Lepisosteus oculatus: one gene and its partner. The protein of the gene in region 1 purifies or fractionates together with the protein of each later gene. This does not show direct contact. Links are inferred from orthologs where the notes say so. Each region holds a gene or a part of one and is shown in the gene's direction. Other genes may lie near its edges.

Evidence for each region.
Region 2: the proteins of eps15l1a (region 1) and itsn2b purify together in Homo sapiens (affinity purification with mass spectrometry; 5 studies listed by BioGRID and IntAct, with this or other methods). This does not show direct contact. The link is inferred for Lepisosteus oculatus from reciprocal best matches to the Homo sapiens genes EPS15L1 and ITSN2.

The regions. Positions count from the first base shown.
Region 1 is NC_090724.1:5,378,971-5,386,191, forward strand, and holds the start of eps15l1a (epidermal growth factor receptor substrate 15-like 1), read left to right. Parts: upstream 1-4,155; 5' UTR 4,156-4,210; coding exon 4,211-4,237; intron 4,238-7,221.
Region 2 is NC_090697.1:20,601,359-20,609,238, reverse strand, and holds the start of itsn2b (intersectin-2), read left to right. Parts: upstream 1-4,832; 5' UTR 4,833-5,032; intron 5,033-7,880. Other genes in the region: intron Large complex component GCFC2, read right to left, coding at 1-56, 1,643-1,741, 2,185-2,506.

The DNA.
Region 1 (7,221 bases):
TGTGCAATGGAGGCTTCAATTGTGTGACACTAAATAGTCTCCCTCTTGTTTTTATTAGCTACTGGTTTCAAGAAATAGTTAAGATGTTTTTTTTTCTAATTTCAGCATCAATGATGAACATTATATGATGTACAGTGAGAAAGCAGTACATCTACATCAATTATTCCTGTATTCCCTAGACCTACTTATTTAACATTGAAATTGTAGCATCGAATTCCTTCCCAATTTCTAAAAAAAAAAAAAAGCACTTCACTATGGAAGTGCATGAGAGGTATGCGTATGGTTCGCTATTTCTGCAGCGTTCATTAAAGCGAATTAGAAGAATTTAGAGTGGAAAGAAATGCAGAGATGCAAAACTTGTTGGCCGAAGCACAAAGTGCATTGAAATAAAATAAGAGCAGCTTTCTCCTTGACTGTACCGAATGACTCAGTTTTTCTTTTCTTGTGTTGCTGTCATGATAATGTGTGATCAACGCTGAACCTTCCTGTTTAAAGAGACGGCACTTTAACTGCGAGAATGTTGCCCTGAGAGATGGGAGAGGTGCATGTGGTTTTTTTTAAGTTACCTAGTGCCCTGTTGGACCTTCGGCATGCTGTAGAACTCATTTATGTATCGCAGTGGTGGTGATTTTTCTCTTTGACTTCCTGGGTATTTCTCTGTTTGAAGTTTCAGATTTTATTTCAGTTTTTTTTTGCCTTTCTGGGGAGGGGAAAAGAAGAAAAGTTTTAGCCTTAACTGCATTACTTCCTGAAGGCTCAGTTTGCTGAATGGTTCTGGGATTCATCGATTTCAGCATTATGTAAAAAATAAATAGCTTTTACAAAGCTTTACAACAGAGTCTTTCTGTCTGTTCTTTATGCATCCCCTTATTGCACAGTACTGGGTGGGGCTACATCTCCCCTACGATTGCTGGTGAAACCTCAAGGTGTACATTAACCCCTAAATGTGCCCCAAAAACCCCTCACATTACCAGGTCTCATTCCCTCACGGACAGGAGGTTAAGCGTGCATCTGACAGGTGTTCTGTGTAATAGTAATAGATTTATTCCATGCTAAAAAAAAGAAGAGAGAAAACACAATGTTTCGGCCGTGGAGCCTTCTTCAGGCGTGGTATGTGCTGATGGACTGTATCTTATACAGTCCATCACCATCAATATACTTATACGGTGCATATCTAACCTTATGTTCTCCTTGTTACTGTATAGTCAGGTACTTCAACTCTGGTCATGAAGAGGGCTTGTCCAGCAGGTTTTATGGTTAGCCTTTAAATAATACATTGATAAAGATCGTGGCACAATTTAGCTATGATCATTTAAATGTGCAGTGTTTAATGACTTCATTTTCAATTCGTTGGAGCAATGCACTTATACAGTACATACATTAGCTGAAGTCCCTGAGCACAAGACGACAGCATTTACTTCAATACTCCACAAGAGGGCGCTCTTGATCCTGAATTGCAACACGAAAAGGGTTAGTCTTCAATGAATTACAGGTGTAGGACACATGGTATGTGGTGATGGACTGTATCCTTATACACGCGGGTGTAAAAAGTGTTCGATGTTGCGTTGTAAAATAACTATTACTTTAAAAATATGTATGATGAACACTATAGTTGTTCTAGAGATCCACTATAGTGCAAACGTCTTACCATGGAAATGTGCTGTTGCCCTGAATTTCACAGCAGTGCAATTTAACAACAGCAGCATTACTTTCTTACACATACCTATAGTTAACTTTAAGTAAAAAATCAGGAATTTAAATTATAGTCACAACTTTTATCCATTAACAGTTCATGATAAAAGATACTTTCTTGTGCGCAAGAAACCTTCATAGAACAGAAAAAGTCCTCTTCATCAGAGGAGTTGTTCTGTGGCTCAACAGTCCTCATCCTCTTGTCTGAAGTATTCCAGACCTGTATTGTAAAATAACAGTTTATATCCTTTCTCAAAACATGTACACAGCGTTGGTTATGCACAAAACGAAGATGATTATATTACAGGTGGCGCAGTGGCTAGCATTGCTGACCACAGATCTGGGTGCTATCTTGGTGGAGTTTGCATGCTATCCTATGTTTGTGAAGGTTTCCAGTGGATGCTGCTATTTTCTGCTGTCCACAGATAAGCTGGCAGATTGATTGGCTCCTGGGAAGGCTGGAAAGACAAAACACAAGTTTGAGAATGAAATGTTCTTTTATTATTCTTTTGTTATCACTCTACTGTAAAACGGCACTGTCCTTTGGATGAGACGTAAAACCGAGGTCCTGACTCTCTGTGGTCATTAAACACCCCAGGGTGTTTCTCCAAAATCTTTGATCTGGGTTCATCACTCTGTTCTTCTCCCTGGTGATAGCTGATGTGTAGGGATCGATGGGAAATTTGGCCTATTTTCGAGAAACACCCTGGAATGTTTAATGACCACAGAGAGTCAGGAAGAACGTCTCCTCTGAAGGACAGCGCCTGTTTACAGTATAGTGTCCCCGTCACTATACTGGGGCATTAGGACCCACACAGAGCGCAGGGTGAGCGCCCCCTGCTGGTCCCACTAACACCTCTTCCAGCAGCAACCTTAGTTTTTCCCAGGAGGTCTCCCATCCAGGTACTGACCAGGCTCACAGCTGCTGAGCTTCAGTGGGCTGCTATGGCATTGCCTGTAAAGCGCTTTGAGTGAAGCGTCCAGAAAAAGCGCTATATACGTGTACGGAATTATAATTAATTCTTATTATTTTCTTCCTGTAACACATCGCTTCGCAATCCGGAGTGTGTGGAAGGCAGCACCTCGAACATCTTGAAGTCCTTGTTTCTCAAGCCAAACCTGATGTACATGAACGACAACATTCACAGGCGAGGGGACTGTGACTTGTCGCCTGCACTGTTTCTGTGCATCTCCGAAACGCACCCAGAGGTGCATTAAAGAGGCTTTACATTGTAGGTGAAAGCGCAGCCGTACACTGTGGGGGTCACCATCGTCTCGCCTCTGAAAATCCGGTATGAATCAGCAAAAAAACAAACCCTGCAGCAGTTTTGATCTGACCAATCAGTGATGTACCGACAGCACGGTGTTATGAATCCCTGACTTGTTAATTTAACTTTGATTCATTATTGCGAGGTGCGTTCAGAACTTATTTTCCGTTTTTGGAAAACACTGAGATTCCAATTCAAACTGCACATTGTTCCTGAAAGCCCTTATAAGGAATGCTGGGAGTCCTACGTAGACGAGGACCAATGGGCTTTTTAACAGTTTTGTTTTTTTATTATTATTGATAAAAGTCCCGGACAACTACCGATATAGCGGTGTCCACTGTACTCGACATTCTGTGTCCGGAGATTTCATTACAGAATATGTGCAGTTCCAGGTTTCTACAAAAAACGTATTTTTGTAGTGCATATTTCAGTGATCGCACAGTAAAAATGACATTTATAGAGAAAATAGGGTCAGCAATCCATTGTCCAGCGCTCTTTTTGACGAACAAGTAACTGTTCTTATTGCGCATGTGTAAATGTGTTCTGGGTCAGACAAATATGGGGTTTTTAACGTTCTTTCTGGAAAACCAAGGCGGAAGGCAATTCCCAGAATATTAACATAAATAAAACATATTCTGTCTGCCGAGGGCTTTTAGGCGAAAACGGGTTCTCGAAACACTGCAGTCGCTTAGCTGATTCACTCGCGGTTATGCCGGTATTTGGCCACAGATCGCTGAGCAGGAGCTTTAAAGGCACTTTACAGCCTTGCGGTTTTTCCACTATCCGAGAAAAAAATTCTGAAACCAGAAATGACCGATTTAAGCTCAAGCTAAGAGGTCGGTTCGGGTGCTTGTACGTGTAATTGCTTCAGAAATAAATTACTGCACACCCCTCCGTTTTGCATGGATTATTGTCATCATTTTATTCATTTAATATAGAGATTTACACGTAATTATTTATGTTTATTCTGAACCGTATTAGAATGAAACCCAATGTTAATGCCCAGTGTAAGAGGCAGGCGCTTCGTGCAACAGTCGGATATATCGGTATTACTTTGCACGGCAGACAATAAGTGACTGTACCGTATTGTGTTTTAGTTCAGCGGCTGTGAGTGAACATCCAGAAACCTGCCCGGCGCGTTTTCCACGTGTGAAGTGCGATTTCACGCCCCGCGCATCCTGCGAGTTCTTGTTCCCTCGGAGGCGCGTTTCCGACGAAAGGGTGTGCGCGCTCCCGCAGCAACAGGGAAGATGGCGGCGCTCACGTCTCTCACTCAGGTACTGATTCTGGCTCAATGTATTATTTGTAAACAGACGGATAATAATCGACGGGACAGACGCGGGCAGTTACAGATATGCTTTTCTCGATTGAAAATCTAACCGTGTCAACTGTGGAACATTAAACGCCAGGCAATTAACAATGCATTTTAAAGGTTACAGTAGTGGGAAGGTATAAGGCCTACTGGGATATTAAACCGTAAAATGTTGAAAGGCGGAATGAAGTCAGCGAGTATGCAGGATGAACTGCTTACGTTTACAAGGAACGACAGAACACGGAGGTTTTTCTGTGTCTCAAAGCGCCCAAAACAGTGCTGGCGTTTTGCCTGACGAACAAGCTGACTTGTCTACGGCTCAAAAGCCTGACCAGAAAACACGGTAACGCGGACAATTGTGAGTTTTCTCCACTTCTCACGGAAAGAGCTTCCGTGCGACGGGTAACAGCAGCTGTCTTGCGATGCTATGAAAACATGAGACGGCATCTTTTGACTTCTGCTTTGGTTTAACGTGCTCGGTTTCCCGGTACAGCCTGCCCTGTAAGCACTACCGATGTGGAAGGGTTTGGGTAGTGTACGCTTGAATAATTCTGACATGCCGTACGTAATCGGCATATTTTAAAGACCGGTTCGGTTAGCAGCTCTCATGTAGGCGTAAGGTTGGCAAATACTTCAGGCTGCACCTGTTTCTGATTAGTTTTTTAATACCATGCCCTTATTCGTGTTAATCTTTAAGGCTTAAGTCGCTTTTTCTTTTGCGCATAGCCTCTAGATAAGAAAACCCCCCAGGAGATAAAAACGGCATAAAACGCCGTCATTCTTGACAGTGTCGTATGTGACCCGAGTTGGAAGCAGTCGGTGTCGAGTTCGTGCAGTTGAGCACTCGGTCTGTTTGAATGGTTTACTTCAGCAGTCTGAAGCCGGCATTAGGTAATGGCTACAGGAATGCAGGCATATACGCCCGACTGCTTGTCAACGCTGTTACCTTTCAACAGGTGAATTGCTTTGAATGAAATGCATGTTATGTGAAGTTCCTTTTCGTTTTCTGAGCGAGCACAGCTGCTTTCGGATTCCGGTTGTGTCGGTGCAACAGCTTAGTTTTCCAGTCCGCGGGGGTTCTGCTTGTTCAGGGACTGTAGCATCCGAGACTACTCAGCCGGATCTTCCAGGTGAGCCTGTGTCACAACTGGGCAAAGGTGTCTCTGGTCTGGGGACGAATGCTTTCTCCATCTCCTCCGAAGCTTTTTGGACTTCCTCCTGTGGGCCCGTGATTTAAGCCACAGTGAAGCAGGAGATCTGTCTGGCTACTGCTTGCAGATGGGGCTTTAGTCTGATTTACAAAGGCTTGTTGGTGTCTGCACTCTGATTAGATCTGCAGGTGTAATGTGTCTCATGTTCGTTACAGGGCATCGTTAAGAAGTGGTGTTGTACAGTGCTGAAAAACAAGGAAAAGGGTTTTTGTGAGCTGAAATGTAGCGCAGACATGCTCAAGAGCAGCTTTTTGTCAATTAAAATGCTTAATGGCCTCTGACCATTTTAACTCCTGTCAGATGGTTCAATCTGGATAATTGACTAAGCAGTTCGAGGAGAGCTAGCAACAGCATAAGACTGCTCTTTCAGATGTGCCTCACCCTTTGGGTAGTGTGGTTATTTCCCAGAGGGGCTACTGTACTCTGAGAATGCCTCATTGAAGTCATTCAGCACCACGATTACAGCCTGTGCATCATCTGTGCTTCACTCACGAATGATGTTAATAAAACACTGACTCCCTGAACAGCATAAGCATACAGATGCAGAATAGACACATTTGATGGTTTGTAAGAAATGTTTTATGTCTGCATATTTTTATTATCTATAATGATTAGAGTCGTCATGTTTTCTTCTCGAATTCATGGCTATTTAAATTACTAAACAGTATTTTAGCATTTTTCATCAATAAATTATGCATTATATTTTTGATAAATAATTTTAAAGTTGGTTTCATCACATACACTGCCCTATGAATTTTATTGTGCCCCTAATGAAATTGGAATAATAATCATCACATAATGGAAAGTTTTACAATTTGGCAATTTTTTTATTACAACAAGTTTAACTTTTTGTAGTGAATCTGAATACCATTGCACAGACCAAAATCCTGTGGGTTACAATCAATGTAAATCCAGAAAACAAGAGGGTTGTGTTTATTCACACTTCTACTGTTAGTATTTTGCAGATCCTCCTCTGGCAGGGATTAGGGGAAATTCTCCCCTTCTGGTTTCTGTTAGTGAACTGTCACCTTGAGTTAGAATCACGAATGTTCAGTAGGATTAAGGTTTGGAGAGTGAGATCACCAAGTCAAGAACATTTGTTTTCTGTACAGTCAACCATGCCTTTGTTGATTTGGACAGGTGATTTGGATCATCGTCGTGTTGGAATGTCTGTTTTCAGCCAAGCTGTAGCTTCTTGTCAATAAGAACCAGGTGTCTGGTCACAATGACCTGGTAATTGTCAGAGTTAGGGAAATGTACAATCTCGACAAGGGCTCCAAGACCAGTAGATGCAAAACATCCCCTCCACAGTATTTCACAATGGGCAGTGAGCATGAGTGCTTTCTCAACATGAGCTTCATCTTTTTATATACCAAACATAATGCTGATGAGCGTGTCTCAATAACTCAGTTTTAATTTCATCTGATGAAAATACGTGGTTCCATTCCAGTGATGTGTGGCAAACTTCAGATGGCTCTTCTTATCACTCTGCTTTAGTAGAGGTTTCTTCCTTGCAGCCTGGTTATGAATCCCATATTCAGGCAATTTTGAATGCTAGTTTTTGACACTTAATGTCCTTGAAGGCTCCAACGTTGGAGATCTTTATCTCTAGCTTTTAGATTTACGGTTGCCTCCCAAAACCACTTGTCTCACAGGCCAAGTTGTCTTCTTCCTTAGAGGGAGGCCACTTTACCAGTATCCTTAAAATTCTTACTAATGGACACTCCTGTATGTTTTG
Region 2 (7,880 bases), on another chromosome or scaffold:
TTCACCTTCGGGTTTATCGTCCCCACAGTCACTCTGTGAAACAGGACCCTTGGGGCCTATAAAACACAAGCAGGAACTGTCAAACTCACATCTTTTAATTTTGAAGAAGCAATCTTAACCCCCATTCCATTCCAAAAAAAACATTTACAGAACTAATGTTAAGTCAGTTACTTAGAAATAAAAACATTACTTGCGCAGGGGACCATATAATTCTCTGTTTTGCTCATTCTTGATGCCAGTTCTTTACCAATCAACTACAGAGCAATTAATCAATAGTGATTTCATTTTGCCTCAGTATAACATGCTCAGTAGTATGACTGTAACATAATTTCACCTATTTCCCCATCTTGCCTTTCGCTAATGTTAATAATAAAATGTGAAACTTAATTTTCAGTGAAGAGCTTTGCTTCTCTTGAGATGTTTTTTTCCCCCTAACTGAGTGAGGTTTGTTTAGTTTTGAATGCTCCAAGAGTATTCAGTCCAATTCAGAGTTTGTTTAAATGGCATTCAGCTGAGCTCATCTTATGGCCTGTTTTGAGTAGTGATTGTTTTTGCACTCGGTAAAGTGCAGTTTATATGGAGAACAGCATGAAAACCAAATGTCAATTGGGAAATAAATCAAACTGCAACAGAATAACAGAAAAATTCATTAAGACCACGCCAAAACTATTTTACACATACAAATATCTACTATATTTATGGTATATTTACTATTTGTTTCTCAGGGGTTGAAAGACAAAGGGTTGCAAAAGCTGCAAACAGTGCAGAGTCTATTTAAAAAAGATGAGCCAGATGAATTTCAAAATCAAAGACATAAAATAAGGCCACTGAACATAAAAAGGTTATTAACAGAAAAAGAGGCAGTTTGGCCTACATAGCCCACTGGGTGACTAGTAGCTAAGTGACCTGAGGATCTCATCCAGCCATTTCTTGAAAGAAGCCATGTTGAAGAAACCCGCTTCAACAACATGGCTGAGTAGTTTGTAACAGAATGCCAAACAAAACGCAATGAAACTCATTTCCAGTTAGAATGCACTAACTCTGGTCCAGCAACACCTCTTTGAACAGCAAACAGGTTTTTCTTGGAGGTCTCCCATTTCCAGGATTAACCAAGGCCAGACTACTCAAATCATGTTGGCTTCTAGACTTCTCCATTCAAGACTACGGAAAAAAAAATAATTTTGCATCTAACACAATGAACAAATTACTACACATTATTATTGCAGTGTAGTCACAAGCGAACCAATTCCCCCTAAAAATAAGGATGTTAACCAAGAAAACAAACCTCAGACCACTTTCACACAAACTCAGTTAAGGTATGTGAAGTGTGAATCTGCACATTGCCGGTGGTGGAGATGAGTTATCATTACCTGTAAAGTGTCTGGAAAAGCGCTATATAAAATGTAACAAATTATTTCTTTTTTACCACAGTTGAACTGTACCACCCCATAAAAAGTAGCAAACTTTGCTCGAATCCAAAGACCAGGTTTTCTATCACCCCAGATTTCTACAATGATGAACGTTTCAAGAAACGATGACATCATTTCAGGAAAATACACAGTGCCACCGAGCCCTGTTACGTCGAACAGCTAACATACACATCCGTTGTTATGAAACCATAAGAACGCAGTTGGCAATTTACCTTGTGAATTAAAAGCGGGAGGATTGATCTCTTTTGTTCGCGCTTTGAAAACGACGGCCTTGGCAACAGGCTTTTTAACCTTGAAGTCATCTTCGTCCACTGAAATGAAAATACACCAGCAGGTTAGGAAAAAAAAAAAACGTGCACATTAATTGAATGCAAAGAACAGAAACGAAAAACAACAAAACAATGTCAATAGCAGGCTTTTGATGACATTTTCTATAATGCAATTATAGATCAGAATGGAACATACGTTATATTTGAGTCCCTTTTTTGGCTGCATGGTTCAATAATGACTCCAGCACAGGTCTGAGCTCTAGGCATGATCAGCGATGACCCTCCCTACTGTGTCTTGGCTTAAACAGATATTCTTCGTTTCTGCTTCACCTGGGTTATGCTCGCGACACAGCGACAGCTCGCTAAAATATCAATTCTGTGAAGAGATCCCATGCATGTCATTTGCATCTGCAGAATCTACTGCAGGCTGTCTCCGTGCATGTACCACATCAGATTCACGCAGAAATATAAATACTGGGGCGTACCTTGTTTTTCATCACCGAAACTCAATAGAGTGATTTTATTTTTCGTCAGTTTCTTCTCAGCAGCGTCTTCCGCAGCCGTATCTTCGCTTACATTTTCTGTGTGCGGATTTTGTCCGGCGACTGAATCCGGCCTGGAGCTCCCGGACTCCCGCTTAGACGTGCAGGAAATCCCCCGGCTCTGCGGATACTTCAGTAACCGGGGAGCAACCGAGACCTTCACCTCGTCAGTGGCTTCTCCCTGCTCTTCTTGTGAAGGCTCATCTTCTCCGCTCGAATCTCCTTTCCTCCTCCTGAAGTTTCTCTTTGGTTTCTTACCGAACATATTCAGGTGGGAACTGCAATAATATCTCAACAGTGCGGATCGCAAATGATTATCTTATGTATTTTTTTTTTAAAAAAAGTACTAAGCCTTACAGCATCCCACGTGTATCTCGGTAGTGAAGTAAATGAAAGACTAAAGCACAATGAAACACATTTACATTTTTAAATGCTAAGCAAGTTAGCATAAACCAATTACTCCATCTTCATTTATGGGGGGAAAAAAGTACACTTACAACACTTCTTCCGATTTGCTTCAACAACATTTACGTTTGTACTTTCCGGTTCCCTGCTCTCCGGCTGCATCATGGGTAATGTAGTCCATAAACAATGCGTCGCTCTATTTCTTCCTTCAAGAACTCTGTGGAAATTAAAGTAAACTTGGCATTTTGAAAACCTTCAATAAAAATGTTAAAGAATTAGAACTTTTCATAGAAGAGCCTTTTTGAAAACTAAAGCAAACTATAATTAAAGGACAACGGTGCAGCCAGTTCTTGCTTGTTAAAGCCAAATAGAATTGCATAGCCACAGTTGGGCCCAGAAATCACAGTCCTTAAATATTCCCTCAGGCTGTGAGAGGCAACTTACTTTCTCTCTCCCTCCTACTTATTTAAGAGAAGTTAAGAGATACAGAGCTGTCAACCTATGAGTCAGTGCCAAAAAGAAAACCTCTGAGTTGTCCATGTAGCAGGTTCTCCTCTGTAACGTCTTGATTGTAGATTTCAAGCGTTCAATGACTCTAAGGCAGAGACAGACAAGTGTGCTAACTGAGTAGCAGAAGGGTGATATTCATTCTATTATGATGAGGACTTGGAGTCCTTGAATTTCTTTGGAATAAAACAGACCCAGACATCTTGGTCTTTCTTGGGCAACCAGGACAAAGGTTTTAGGTTTGGCACTTAGGTGCTGTACTTCTAACCTCATGAAGTGGGGACATTGGTCCCTATTCAACAGGCATAATGTTATCACCAAGATCCCCATGACATCCACTTTTCCTGTACATGCCTTGTCCCTGTCCTGGCTCAAGGAAAGTGAATTTTACATATGCATCAGAAACAGGCTTAAAGCACTGAATAATTAAAGTTCAGAGAAGCTGGACCTTGCTGTCTTCTCTTCCTATGGTGATTTCAATAGACATTTTAATCCAATATCCCGAATAAAATGGGCTGTAGAAGGATGCCTTAAGACTCAACAAATAGTACAGTTAATGCTCAAGGGTTCACAGTATGCCTTCTGTATATCAGGAGTCATAGGCTCTGACCTGTCACCCCACTTCACAGCAGAGCAATGGCAGCTCATTGTAGCACAGCTATTCTGTTCCAAGAACAATGGTGTCTCTTTCTGTTTTCATTCCAGCCTTTAACATGGTAAACCAGCTGTTTAGTTGTTCAAGTAGATTGATTTATTACCATAACCCTGCTCTTCAGGTGCTGCTGCTTTAAAGAGACCTTAAAAAACCTGCGGACGCACCAGGTCTCCAGGACCAGGAGAGCCCACCCCATGCTAGTACTGTATATATAGTGGATAAAAAAATATTAGGTTGAAATTGTATGATGTACACACTAATTTGTACATTTGTAAATGATCTAAAGTCTATTACATTGGCACTCCATTAATTACATCACCACAGTTTGAACAATCTTCCCCTTTCTATACTCTCTACTCTCAGTCCATTAACCAGTTCTTAATCCCAAAACTGAAGTTTCCCCAAATGCAACTAACTTTTAATTTGAGAATTTATTTTTATGGGAAACTTTTATCAAAAGCCTTTTGTACATCATAAAGTAAATCATACAGCCTGCTTTACTGTTGTTGCTTATTCAAGAACAAAGCGCTTAGGCAAATACTTTTTACCTTCTTTAACTTGGTTCAATTTTGTCGTCCTTTGTACTGCCAGGCACTGTATTCACTCTTTTTTGTCTTATTCTACTAGATATTATCATAAAGCAGTACATTTTAGTGTGTGTATAATCTCCACCAACTTGAGTTCCAATGCCTTGCAAAGTCAGATTTAGTAATTTCAGTACATTACAGTATATCATGCAGCCACATTTGAATGAATTTATTTTATCATCAAAAATCTGAGATGTGAATAAATATAATTTTAAAACTAAAAAGGAGTATCTGTTGTTTCAACCAATTTTATTTTTTGCACGGATAGCTTTTAAGGCGTAGTCCTGCAGGTATGCTGACAATGCATAGCTTTTTTGCTATTAAGACAGGCTGGGTGTGATGCGTACCTGAACAGTGAGAGGGCAGTATGTGCAAGGTTGCAAAAATGAGATTTCCCCTCCCATCCTGGGGTTGAATAGTAATCAGGCTCCGTGTTGTCAGCCATGTTGTTGGTGTAATACTACAGTGCTGCTTCTAGCAAGCAACAGGTACAAGACTGAAGCACGTTTTCTGGAAATAAACATTGAGTCTCACGTCTAATTACTTATTTTGACCGAGAACATTTGTTGATAATGGAGATTTTCCAGAGTCGGGATTAAACCAAATCCAAAATATTTTTGGTGTCCTTCCACGAAAAGTAAGTAAATTTAAGAATTATGAATACTTCATTATACATATACAATATGTATATAAATTATTTTACCAAGGAACATATTCTATGTATATATACATAAACATAGTTTGGTGCTGGAATTTTATCAGTAAGTAATGTAATTAAAGCTTTAAAATTGAAACTTGTCGGTTACATTGAAAGCGAGGATGTAAACAAGCACGAATACATAGGATTTTTTTAATCTAGTGTTATAAGAAACAGGATTACTTGATATATTGGGGTTTATGTTCTGAATCATTTATTGTGGTTGCAGCAGTAAAGAAATACATATTTGAAAATTTCCTTTTCACGACTCGCTTGGCAGGTTGTTGCGAATTTAAAGCAAGTGTCTTGCAGCAGTAGGCAAAGGAATGAAACTTCATTGCACTGGTTTCTCTGCTTTATATAAGGAATTTAATGAATTTCATGACTTTAAGAAATAATTTGAATAATGATTTTCAATTTTTAGAAACATTTACACACTGTTTTATTGCACTTCTGATGTATGGGTTGTTTTTCTTTTCTTTTTGGAGATTGAATTGTCTTTCATGTATTTTAAAATGTTAAGAAAAAGTGGTCTACATGTTTCGAACCACTTTTCTTAAGCATTTTTTTCGTGTTTAGAGCGTCAGTACAAGAACCCTCACAATTGTAACACGATGAATACTAGGAAATTAAACAATGATAAAGTAATTTGAGTCTAGTGAGTCACTTGAAGGGCATTTGTTCAATTAATGCAGGAATGTACTGTATATAGTGGCAAAATCGACCAGGTTCTTGCATTTTTTTAAAACGTTTTACAGTGAACAGTGAAAAGCAGTTTGATTATCTGGACGTTTTGTTACTTTGAAATCACTTGCTTTCTAACAGGAAACTTTTGATTCTTCCTGGCAAGCTGTGCGAGAAAAAAAAAATCAAAATGAAGACTCATTCGGTTTTTCATTAATGGATCCCATCCTCCCCCTTTTCCTTATTTGACTAAGAGAATCTCGGGTCAGAGATAAAAATAGAATATTCATGAATCTAGTTTGTTGTGTCCCTGCACGGATGACATTTAGATGCACCATACAGTCCTCTTCAATAAGGGGTGGGTGGAAAAGACTCTATTACTATTTCTAAACTATTACTAGTGCTATTAGAAACTGCTATTGGCTTTGTGTTGTTTAATGCAAAAGAGGCTGAAACTGGTTCGAATATTTTAACACTTCACAAGACAGGTGTGTTGTCTTGGGCAGCTGGGCAGCTGGGGACTAAAAAAATTCAGTCATGGCTGAATTTTTTTAACTTCTGAACTTATTACAGTAATTTATCATGCAACACACAATGTTTTAAGTTCCTTGTGTTCCCCTTTTTAGAAAGCCAGAATAAAACAGTGCCTTAAATTATGAGTCTTGTTAGGTTCCTGCATCCTGTTCGTCAGTTGTCAGTTAAAGCGGTCATATCCGATGTTACACGTGGTCAGACCAGGATGTGTATGTGAATATAACCAATCTCTTATTTCTTTGTATCTTCGAGTATTTGAACATATTGGGGAGTTTAATTCAATAATTATTTTGTTACAGGATAACAGTCCACTTTGTTAATACTTTCATAACCTCAAGCCACAAGATGAGAAGGAATTTGCTGTAGATCTAGGATGATATTTTTCCTTTTTCTGCACTGTAATCCCTTTTGGTGTCTCTTTAAACCATCTTCCTTATGAATACAGAACAGTTAGAGTTTGTCTGTTTTGTGTAGGAGTTGTGGCAGCCAGAGAGTGAAGGAGGATGTGTATTTTGACTGATGAATTGCAGTGCGTAAAGGGGTGGATTTATATGATATGAGCATAAGCAACATTACAAATCTAAGGATGCCATTTGGCCCATCTAGCTAGTTTGTTTGCTAGTAGCTAACTCGGGTATTTTATCTAGCCATTTTTTGAGCTATTGGGTTCAACAACATGGTCTCTGGTTTCCAGATTCCCACAACCCTTTGTGTAATATGTGCCTAACATTTTCATTTGTAAGTGCCTGTCTCCTTAGTTTGCACTTGTATCATGTAGTCAATGTTTCACTGATGGCTCTGGTATATTGGTTTGACTTTGTCTGCACCTCAGAGAATTTTAGTTTATGCTGGCTGGTGACTTTCACTGGTGCTACGTGTATATGTGAATATTGTTGCAAGCCTGATGTTGTCACACATGACTTTCAGTTCTGTGGATGACGAATCTTCCCTCATTTTAATCCAAAGGGTGAGATAAGCAAATGAATCATTCTGTTTGTGAACAAGGAGGCATTACTGCGCTGAGAATAAACTACAGAAACTGACAACAGAACCTGCTCATGTTTGTTTCCTAGTAGCTGATTGGTCAAAGCATTTTTACTATCCATTTCTTTAAAGAAGCTAAGTTACTCTCTTCAGTAGCATGGCTAGGTATCTTGTTCCAGACTACCACAACCCGCTGTGTAAGAAATGCTTCTTGTTCTTTGTTTTGAATTCTTATCTATCTAGTTTCCACTTGTCCTTTGGTTCTTGTTTTGCTGTTGGTTCTCAAGAAGTCTGTTTTGTTGTCTTTGTCTGTGCCTCACATGATTTTGAAAACCTCAGTCGCATCAATCAGAATACAGTAAAAAAGAACACCAGAAGCAAAGAAAAATGGCAAAAACAATTTTATCTCCAAGGTGCTTTACATACTTACATGGCTGTAAGTGAGCAGCACTACATACAGTATTTCTTTTGTGTATCTTAATGTAATTTAATATTGAAAATTCTTGAGTTGCTTTGCTTTCATTTTCTGAATAGCTACTTCTGTAGCTCTGATTTGTGATTGTGTTTTTGAAGTCTTTGGTCCAAT